3 linked regions of the Saccharomyces cerevisiae S288C genome follow. The gene in region 1 interacts genetically with each later gene. Each region holds a gene or a part of one and is shown on either strand. Other genes may lie near its edges. The genes, in order: GIM3, PAC1 and EAF3.

Region 1 (3,048 bases):
TGATGGCATTGAAAGATATTCCGATAAATATTTGAAAAAAAGGAAAATAGGTATTTCTATTGATGATCATCCGTATAATTTGAACCTCTTTCCCAATGAATTGTACAATGTAATGGGGATCAACAAGAAAAAATTATTGGCAATCTCCAAGTTTAATAATGCCGATGATGTTTTTACTGGTACAGGTTTACAAGATGAAAACATCGGACTATCCATGCTGGCAAAGTTAAAGGAGTTGGCAGAAGATGTGGATGATGCGTCGACGGGTGATGGGGCAGCAAAAGGAAGTAAAACAGGCGAAGGAGAAGATGATGATTTGGCGGATGATGATTTCGAAGAAGATGAAGACGAAGAAGATGATGATGATTATAATGCTGAAAAGTATTTCAACAATGGTGACGATGATGATTACGGTGATGAAGAGGATCCAAATGAAGAGGCCGCCTTTTAGTTGAAAATTTATACCGCTTTACCATATTTTTGGATATTCTTCAAAGCAGAATTTGTACAATTAGCATTTTTCTTTATGGTTTAGATCGGCGGTGAGGGCGCAACAGATTTATGTATACATATTGAAATAATAAAATTTAAAAAAGAAAAAATCTTGGTAAACATTAAAAATCTTAATTCTATTTAAATATTAGTATTACAATAACAGCATGTTTCTCTTGTCATTAGCTGAGCCTTGGAGGTGGTCTTTTTCTTGTAGGAGACATCGAATTCTTCCTCGAATTAAAATTGGAATTCGAAGTAGTCGGTAGAGGTGGTAGTTTTGGAGAATTCAGGCCTGATGGATGAGGATGTGAGTTAGGCGAAGAGGAATCTAGGCGTGAGGGTCTATCTCTTCTTACTAACGGCGTATTGCGCGAACTTGAATAATTGGACATATCATCTCTGGTCGGTATAGGAGGTAAGGGCGGTTGGTTATAGTTGTGGGAGACTCTATGGCTGGAAGAATAAAATGCGTCATTTTCGTCGTCATCGTCATCATCTTCGTCGTAAGACAACGAAGTTACACCAATAGCCTTTTGAAGTGCCTCAATATCTACCTTGTTAGATTCATTTTGGCAGTTGTTTGTTGAACTATCAGGATTCTTAAATATATTTATCTTCTCCTTTAATTTCCTTAAATTGGCAAAATGGAATTTTGTATTCGAAGTGTTTGATATAGCAGTATCATTAGTTTCTAATGTAGACGTTGTACCCATGGATGCTGAAAAAGTTGGAGGTAAAATTATTGGGTCATTACTATTTGCCAATACCGCTGTATCTGATTTAGATGACATGGAGAAAACATTGCCATTTCTGTAGGGCTGTCCCTCATCCTTATCCTCGTGACTTGTGCTAACACACTGGGGAGTAATCTGTCTCATCGTAGAACCATGAACATAGTCATACTCTGATTCTGTTGGCAATGGTGGTATCGGCCTCATAGCCATAGATGAATCCAACCTGTCCATTTCTTTGTTAAGATCGTCCCTGTTTAAACGAGGTACTTTGGGAGTGAAAGTCAACTCAATGAATATAGTGCCAGCAAATTCATCCCCACTTCTTTTCAGTTCGTACCAGGTACAATAACCCTCCTTCGGGTCTGCTCTAATAGCATTTAAAAGGTCTATTTCACATCTTCCAATTGGCAGCGGAGATTTTTTCCTTCTATCGCAGTAAACTTCGACGTACATTAAAGGCTTTATCTCTGGAGTAATATCAAATTTTTCTAAATAATGGAAAACAGGGTTTTGACCTGCTCGATGTAGAGTGTTGCTGGCTCTTGTCATATGAGCTATTCGCAACCTAAGCATTACATTTTGCTTGTCCAGTTTATTCAAATTAGGCAAGTCTCTAGCTTTGCTCACATATACGGAGAGGATTCCTTGGTTTCCATTCCATACTTCTTCGGACATTCGACAGTGACTCAACGAGTTAACCCAATTCCAGTTGTGAAACCTAAGGTCTCCGAATTCTCTCGTACTATTAACATACCTTTCTATGTTTTTATCTAAATCATATGAGGAACGCTAGGCCGTCATTCATGATCAGCAGAGGCGGCTTTTCATACAATTTTACAGGAAGCTAAGTACTTAGAGGACTTATGCTCTGTTTGGTCCTGCGGAAACTACCAGAATACACAACGCCAAGAAACTAACAGAGGACCATTATGGAACTGTTACCACAGGGACAAAGGAACAACACTCAGGTAACGTTCGAAGATCAGCAAAAGATCAACGAGTTTTCGAAGTTGATTATGCGTAAGGACGCCATTGCGCAGGAATTGAGTTTACAGAGGGAGGAGAAGGAGTACCTCGATGATGTGTCTCTAGAAATTGAATTGATTGACGAAGATGAGCCCGTGCAATACAAGGTGGGCGACCTCTTTATCTTCATGAAACAGAGCAAAGTTACCGCACAGCTCGAAAAAGACGCAGAACGTCTCGACAACAAAATAGAGACTTTAGAGGACAAGCAAAGAGACATTGATTCCCGTCTTGATGCTCTGAAGGCGATCCTGTATGCTAAATTTGGTGATAATATCAACCTTGAACGTTAGAACACTCATTAAAGTGTGGGCTGTGGGTGTCTCCACAAAATGAGTAATGAAAAATTTTTAATTTTTTCAGGAGGGAAATTAAAGAAAAGTAAAGAACATGATAATAAAAAGCAAGTTTAAGTTATTGTGTATGAGATAGAGTTTTTTTTGTATACCTTTGTAATCCGCATATATTCCTAAGTACCTTTTTTTTCAGACAGAAAAAAAGAGTTTCTTTACGGAAATTACTTCTTTCGTTTGATATTGTTTTTCTCTTTCGAGATTTAAGAACGTGGTTGTGTTTCGTGTTTCTGTGCAGATCATATTAGAAAGTTTTTTTCTCCATTTTGATAGACAAAACTTGTTGTTTCTACTGAACACAGCATATAAGCCAAGAAAATAGTTTTCCAAAAATGTCTCAAGTGCAAAGTCCTTTGACAGCAACGAACTCTGGTTTAGCTGTCAATAATAACACAATGAACTCACAAATGCCTAACCGTAGCAATGTTAGATTGGTCAAT
Region 2 (3,699 bases), on another chromosome or scaffold:
GTGGTTGTGGTAGATTTCATGGAATCTGTAGATTTCTCGCTTCTTAGTGAGTCATTACTTTGTTTTCTACCAATGAAGTTTAAGAAAGATTTAGAACTTCTGATCAACTGTGGCGGGTTATTAGACGAATTTTCACGGTCATGATGATGGTCATTATGATGACCATGGAATGGGTTTCTCGACAATAGATTAGGCATCTTTATACGAGAAATAGTTCTACCGTATTATTATAATTATTAGTGTTATTATTTTTGTTTTCGATCAATTCTAGCGGAGCTACAATGTGGTAGTCAAACGCTGCTATTGTATTTAATTCCGGCTCGAGACCAGTCTGGAAAGTCGACGTATATCGTTACTACTATCCTTTTTTTATTATTCCTACTATTTCCTTATTGAAAAAGTGGAAAACTGTTAAATCTGGAAATTCTTCACGATTCTAGAAAAATAGGAGGTGAAGAAGATTTCTAAGCTTTTTGAAAAAAACGGGAAAAGGAAGAGGCCCAAAAAAGTGAAAAAAAACTGTGTGTGTGAAATGTAAACGAACTTTGCTCCCTCTAGGAAAAACTTCTTTAAGCGGTTGGGAACTGTCTTGGGCTTACTTGTTTGTAAACAGTTGTATGAATGATTCTATATGCTAATTCTCAGTTTGTCTCTCTTAAAGATTTGTCACTCTGAAATATATAGCCAAATAGAACTAGGCGAAGAAAAAGAAAAGGGGCGGCGACGACGTAGGGGTCAGGTAGAAGAGTTGGGCACTTATTGGCGATATAAAAGACAAAATACACTAATGCAAGAGTATGGTGAGCGAAAGGAAAATAAAGAAAGGCTACGTTATTGACGGATATATGAATCAAGACACAAGACTATTTTGTATAGTAAGCAGAACCGGCTTGTGTTTGTGATTCATGGATCAACGAGACGGTAGCGAATAAGCACCAACGGAAAAAAAGAAAACATACGCATACATGCACGTACAAGATAAAAAAAGCACAGGTGTGGTGGTAGTATTGGGATAACCAGGCACACGCTACTGCGAGATAGCAAAAGACCCTTCCCGTAAACCGCTCGGATAAACCGATTTTGTCCTTTAGCGTGACACGGATTATACGCGGGGATCCGGCGTCACAAGCCACGGCCCGTCCCGTCCGCGTGGTTTTTAATTCTGGCTCCGCGTAGTACATTTTGTAGCTTGCCTTTTTTCCGGCTTCTAGAAAACTGGAAAAACCATAAGAAAAAAATGGGAAGGGGAAAACAAAAACCATTCAGGTCTTGCGTGCCGAGAATTTTTTTTTTCTCTTTTTCGTTGTCAACTTTTGCAGTAGCAGCCGCTGGCGACCCGGACGGTAGCCATGGCAACGGTTAGCTAATGGTAGGTAAATAAAACGAGTAACGACGTTTTAGTATATCTTGGTAAACTACAATTAGATCTTAAAACGGTTCCTGAAAAAGTGCTTTCATCTACCATTGAATTTAATTCACTTCCCTTTATGGAATTTGCACTGGTTTTGTGCTGTGGGATGTGGGTGTTTTGAAATATTTTCAGCTTGCAAGTCGTGCATATTGCACTTGTTTCTTATTTTTGGCGAGTGTAAACGTAATAGGTAATCTTAGTATTGGGCCATCGTCGCCCAGATAGCCATTGATAAAGCAGCTAGGTTCGTCGTCCGGTTGTTGGTATACACCTGTGCGTGCGTAAGTGTAGAAAAAAATAGAAATGACTAACTGGCAGCAACAGCTTCCTTTAACAGATACACAGAAAAATGAACTCGATAAAAGTGTCCTCCGATATTTGAATTGGAATTACAAACAAACTGTACGACATGAGCATGCTCAAGATTACGAAAGTGTTCGACATGCAATTGTAACTCTATCAGGTTTTCTGTTGCAAGAATCAGTGGACCGGCAAGAATTCATCAGTAACAATGACACCAGTAACGAAAGTATGGTAGACATTGATGAATTACTGCTACCGAAGAAGTGGAACTCAATTGTTAGACTACAAAAAAAAATCATTGAATTGGAGCAGAATACAGAGACCCTTGTATCTCAGATTAAAGATTTGAACACTCAAGTGTCAGAACTAGCACAATTCAAACCTACCACCAGTAACGGCACCAGCGCACATAATGTTTTGAAATGGATACCGAGAAATCTACCAAGCTGTTTAATTAATGTTGAATCATCTGTCACTTCCGTCAAACTACATCCCAATTTGCCTATAGTGTTTGTGGCCACAGATCATGGCAAATTATACGCATTTGATTTATTTAACTACACCATCCCTCTGGCATCCTTGCAAAGTCATACCAAGGCAATTACCTCCATGGATGTTTTATTTACCAATTATACGAACTCCAGCAAGAAGAACTATTTGGTGATCGTTACCGCGTCTAAAGATTTGCAGATTCATGTTTTCAAGTGGGTCTCCGAGGAATGCAAGTTCCAACAAATTAGGTCTTTATTGGGCCATGAGCATATTGTCTCTGCGGTAAAAATCTGGCAGAAAAATAATGATGTCCATATAGCGTCCTGTTCCAGAGATCAAACTGTTAAAATTTGGGACTTCCACAATGGTTGGTCGTTGAAAACATTTCAGCCTCATTCCCAATGGGTTCGTTCCATAGACGTTCTAGGCGATTACATCATCTCTGGTTCACATGACACTACATTAAGGTTAACACATTGGCCATCAGGTAATGGTCTTAGTGTTGGCACGGGTCATGAATTTCCCATAGAGAAAGTTAAATTTATTCATTTCATCGAAGACTCTCCGGAGATAAGGTTTAGAACACCATCAACGGATCGATATAAGAATTGGGGGATGCAATATTGTGTCTCAGCGTCAAGAGATAGAACGATAAAAATCTGGGAGATACCTCTACCTACGTTAATGGCCCATAGAGCACCCATACCGAATCCTACAGATTCAAATTTCAGATGTGTTCTTACGTTGAAGGGGCATCTTTCGTGGGTTAGAGATATTAGTATTCGAGGCCAATACTTGTTTTCTTGTGCTGATGATAAATCTGTCAGATGTTGGGATCTGAACACGGGGCAGTGCTTACACGTTTGGGAAAAGTTGCATACAGGATTTGTCAACTGTTTAGACCTGGATGTGGATTTCGATTCTAACGTTACCCCAAGGCAAATGATGGTCACTGGTGGATTGGATTGCAAGTCTAACGTTTTCATGAGATAAGTTTGGCTTTCCTATTTCTTTTTCCCTTTTTTTTGACTCTTTTTAAGCATTGGTTGATACTTTAAATACTTTATTGAATTAGCATTGATAGTATATAATAAGGTTTACTCACTATATAGTAGCATCATTTATTATTTAATGAAGTACTTAAATGTTTCGCTTTTTTTAAAAGTCCTCAAAATTTAGCTTGAAGCGGAAGAGCTTGCACTAGCAACAGCGACTTCCATGTCTTTATACTCAAATGCGAATGGTTCGTATGGTAAACCTTCACCCACGAAAAACTTGGACATAGATTCAACCCAGTGCAAACGTAAGGAATGAAGCATGGCAGATGTACCTTCCATCAAAACAAGAACTGCACATGTTAGTGCGAACCACATGGCAAAAAGTGCAACCGTCATAAACACACCCACAAATCCTCTAAATCCAAAGGCAATTTGAATTGTCATTGTCCATAAAACACTAGACAATTGAGCATGTGCCAATGATAAGGCCCATAA
Region 3 (3,758 bases), on another chromosome or scaffold:
CCCAATGCCCTACCTCTAGGCAATATCGTGGCCTTGTATAGCGGGGTAGCACCATTGGTGTATTTGGCCATAATGGCATGTCCAGCCTCGTGGAAAGCAGTGGCCTTTCTGGCTGCATCTGTTAAGACCATAGTCTTTCTCTCAGCACCCATCAATATCTTATCCTTAGCCCACTCGAAGTGGGACATATCAACGGAAACAGCATTTTTTTGACACGCGTAAACTGCTGCTTGGTTGACTAAATTTGCCAGCTCAGCGCCTGATAAACCGGGGGTACCACGCGCAATAATAGTTGGATCCACATTGTCTGCCAATGTAATCTTCTTCATGTGATGCTTTAAAATATCAGCACGACCACGAACATCTGGCAAATCCACATTCACAACCTTATCAAATCTACCTGGTCTAGTTAACGCCTTATCTAAAGCCTCAGGGAAATTTGTGGCACCAATAATAATAATTCCACTTGTTTGTGAGAAACCATCTAATTCGACCAATAACTGATTCAACGTTTGTTTGGCGTAAGCTTGGTCCTTTGGATTACGCTTACCACCGATGGCATCTAATTCATCAATAAAAATAATAGCTGGTGCACGAGAACGCGCTTGAGCAAACAAATCACGGATACGTTTAGCACCAACACCGACGTAAACTTCATCAAATTCAGAACCTGACATAAAGAAAAAATCTACACCAGCCTCTCCGGCAGTGGCCCTAGCCAACAAAGTTTTACCTGTACCAGGAGGTCCAGTCAACAGTACACCCTTTGGTAGTTTACCACCCAAGGACTCGTACTTAGTTGGATCTTTCAGGAAATCAACAATTTCTTCCAATTCCGCACGGGCCTCATCACAACCGCAGACATCATCAAATTTAACATTTGTCTTAGCTACATCAACTGATTTGTCGGCTACTTCTGACGACTTTAGTAGCGTTGTATTTTCTGTGATGTATTTAAAACCTTCAGAAAAAGAGTAGGTTAAGATACCGAAAACAAGCAGCCACTTTACCCATCTCGATACAACAGTAAAAGTTGATTCAGATACGACAACATGTAGTGGCTCTTTGCGAGATCCATAAAGCGGAGAATACATCGATGGAAAGTTACCATGATAACCTGACTGGTTTGATGAAGATGACGCCAATGATGGGTTAACTGCGCCAGCAGAGCTGGCTGTCAGTAGGTTTTGTCTAACGGCATCAGCCTCCGAGTGTCTGCCTATCCTCTGCAGGGCCTCCATGTACAGTTCCATGCATTCAGGCGATGACGCAATACCGGGGGTCTCAAACCTAGAGACCACGTATTGCGGGTAGTTTGATTGTAAGAGAAGTTTGTAAAAGGCTGCTTGTGCATCAGGACTCGTTAAGTCTTTATTGGCCTCTTGTTCTCTAGTTGCTAGCATAGCATGTGACACAGCTACGTTCGCTTGTTTGGTTTTATCATTAGTGTTCGATGGAGGTGGTGGTTGCGAATTGTCGATTGAAGATATCGTGGATTTATTGGATGCCTTTCCAGAGCTATCAGCTTCCTTCTTAGGAGGCATTTCACCGCTATTCTTTTCAGAATAAAAACGGTAGAACTTCTTTGATCTTAAGGCCCATTTTTTTTGAACTAACAAAGAAGCACCGATTTGAGGTAGCCTGGGAGCAAATATGCGTAAAACATTTGTCGTGACCGTGGGCGACACAAGTATTTTTGAAACGTTCATCTATCACGTCTCTGTTTTCGTTCTATCCACAATGTATTATAATTAAAAATTGCTTCAATAAAATCCTGTTTATCCTTTAAGCTGTGCTTGCTTTTTACTTATCAAAAACGCAAGGTAGAGATTTAACTCACTTCACCAACTCCGATATATTGCCTTTTCACTACCGCTACAGCGTACAGGAGCTACCACTCCTCGAAGAAAGAGGTACCATGTGATTCGAGATTACTAACCAACCGATGCTGATAGAAAAAGGTGGCGAAGATTGGGGGCCGTTCCTCCGGCGATCGCCACATATCGCATTTCACGAAAGATGAAAATAAAGATGCATCCGAAATCCCGACCAGAAACGTAAAAGGGTATATTGCAAAACAGTCGTTAAAAGCATATAGCATTTTGCATTAGCATCTGTGAGGCCTCGTCACTGGATTTACCCTATTGAAGAACGTATAATGGTTGATTTGGAGCAGGAATTTGCGCTCGGTGGGCGGTGTCTGGCATTCCATGGTCCTCTTATGTATGAAGCAAAGATCTTGAAAATATGGGATCCATCTTCGAAAATGTATACCAGCATTCCTAATGACAAGCCAGGTGGTAGTTCACAAGCAACTAAGGAAATAAAGCCACAAAAGCTGGGAGAAGATGAAAGCATTCCAGAAGAGATCATTAATGGGAAGTGTTTTTTCATACATTACCAAGGCTGGAAGTCGAGTTGGGATGAGTGGGTTGGATATGATAGGATACGGGCCTACAATGAAGAGAATATTGCCATGAAAAAAAGACTGGCGAACGAGGCGAAAGAAGCTAAGAAATCGTTACTGGAACAGCAGAAAAAAAAGAAGCTCTCCACTAGTCTGGGAGGGCCTAGTAATGGTGGAAAAAGAAAGGGAGACAGCCGCTCGAATGCTAGTATAAGTAAGAGCACTTCACAGAGTTTTTTAACATCTTCAGTGAGCGGCAGGAAAAGCGGAAGAAGTTCCGCTAATTCCCTCCATCCTGGCAGCTCTTTGCGCTCGTCATCCGACCAAAATGGGAATGATGACCGCAGAAGATCTTCTTCGCTATCGCCAAATATGCTACATCATATTGCCGGCTATCCAACCCCCAAGATTTCCCTTCAAATTCCCATAAAATTGAAGAGCGTGTTAGTCGACGATTGGGAATACGTAACGAAGGACAAAAAAATTTGCAGACTACCCGCTGATGTGACGGTAGAGATGGTACTGAATAAATACGAACATGAAGTGAGTCAAGAATTGGAATCGCCAGGGTCCCAGTCACAGTTGAGCGAATACTGTGCCGGTCTCAAGTTGTATTTTGACAAGTGCCTGGGTAATATGCTTTTATATAGGTTGGAACGGCTGCAATATGACGAACTTCTGAAAAAATCATCGAAGGATCAAAAGCCACTAGTACCAATTAGAATTTATGGGGCTATCCATCTGTTAAGGTTGATAAGTGTTTTACCAGAGCTGATCTCGTCTACTACAATGGATCTACAAAGCTGTCAGCTTTTAATCAAACAAACCGAAGACTTCTTGGTTTGGTTGTTGATGCATGTGGACGAATACTTCAATGACAAGGATCCAAATAGAAGTGACGATGCTCTGTATGTAAATACGTCTAGCCAATACGAAGGAGTGGCTTTAGGTATGTGAGACGTTTATATTCTAGCTTGGGATTATTTCTAGTATTTAGTTCTTCCGTATTTATGCAATAACTCTTCACAGAATATCTCGTGTAAGAATATGGACACTGTTCGTGGCACTTTACGAAATTCAAGTTTATTCTCTTTGCAAGGTTCTTAGGGTAATGGCAGCTCTGAAAGGGGCTTGTCGAGTTAAAACATCATTAATGATTATATTTTATTTTTGTTATTTTTCTGACGTATCCATCGTTTCGCATCTAGTATGAGCTTACTAAGAGCTTCGTATATAATGTACTATCATCTTCACTTACTCGTTTGCACACTACCAAGTTCTGTCCAGGGCTCCTTGTTTTATATTTTTAGTGTAATTGCATGGTCTATGCAACATGATTAAAGCAGCATCA

Evidence for each region.
Region 2: mutations in GIM3 (region 1) and PAC1 together harm fitness more than expected from each alone (negative genetic interaction), as found in Saccharomyces cerevisiae (6 studies listed by BioGRID, with this or other methods).
Region 3: mutations in GIM3 (region 1) and EAF3 together harm fitness more than expected from each alone (negative genetic interaction), as found in Saccharomyces cerevisiae (5 studies listed by BioGRID, with this or other methods).

What each region holds. Positions count from the first base shown.
Region 1 is NC_001146.8:345,169-348,216, reverse strand, and holds GIM3 (tubulin-binding prefolding complex subunit GIM3), read left to right. Parts: upstream 1-2,158; coding exon 2,159-2,548; downstream 2,549-3,048. Other genes in the region: RPC31 (DNA-directed RNA polymerase III subunit C31), read left to right, coding at 1-451; INN1 (Inn1p), read right to left, coding at 675-1,904; serine/threonine protein kinase YCK2, read left to right, coding at 2,941-3,048. UniProt on the Saccharomyces cerevisiae protein: Binds specifically to cytosolic chaperonin (c-CPN) and transfers target proteins to it. Binds to nascent polypeptide chain and promotes folding in an environment in which there are many competing pathways for nonnative proteins.
Region 2 is NC_001147.6:824,671-828,369, forward strand, and holds PAC1 (Pac1p), read left to right. Parts: upstream 1-1,714; coding exon 1,715-3,199; downstream 3,200-3,699. Other genes in the region: putative serine/threonine protein kinase HRK1, read right to left, coding at 1-197; YOR268C (uncharacterized protein), read right to left, coding at 864-1,262; VPH1 (H(+)-transporting V0 sector ATPase subunit a), read right to left, coding at 3,382-3,699.
Region 3 is NC_001148.4:608,432-612,189, reverse strand, and holds EAF3 (Eaf3p), read left to right. Parts: upstream 1-2,158; coding exon 2,159-3,364; downstream 3,365-3,758. Other genes in the region: i-AAA protease YME1, read right to left, coding at 1-1,709. UniProt on the Saccharomyces cerevisiae protein: Component of the NuA4 histone acetyltransferase complex which is involved in transcriptional activation of selected genes principally by acetylation of nucleosomal histone H4 and H2A. The NuA4 complex is also involved in DNA repair.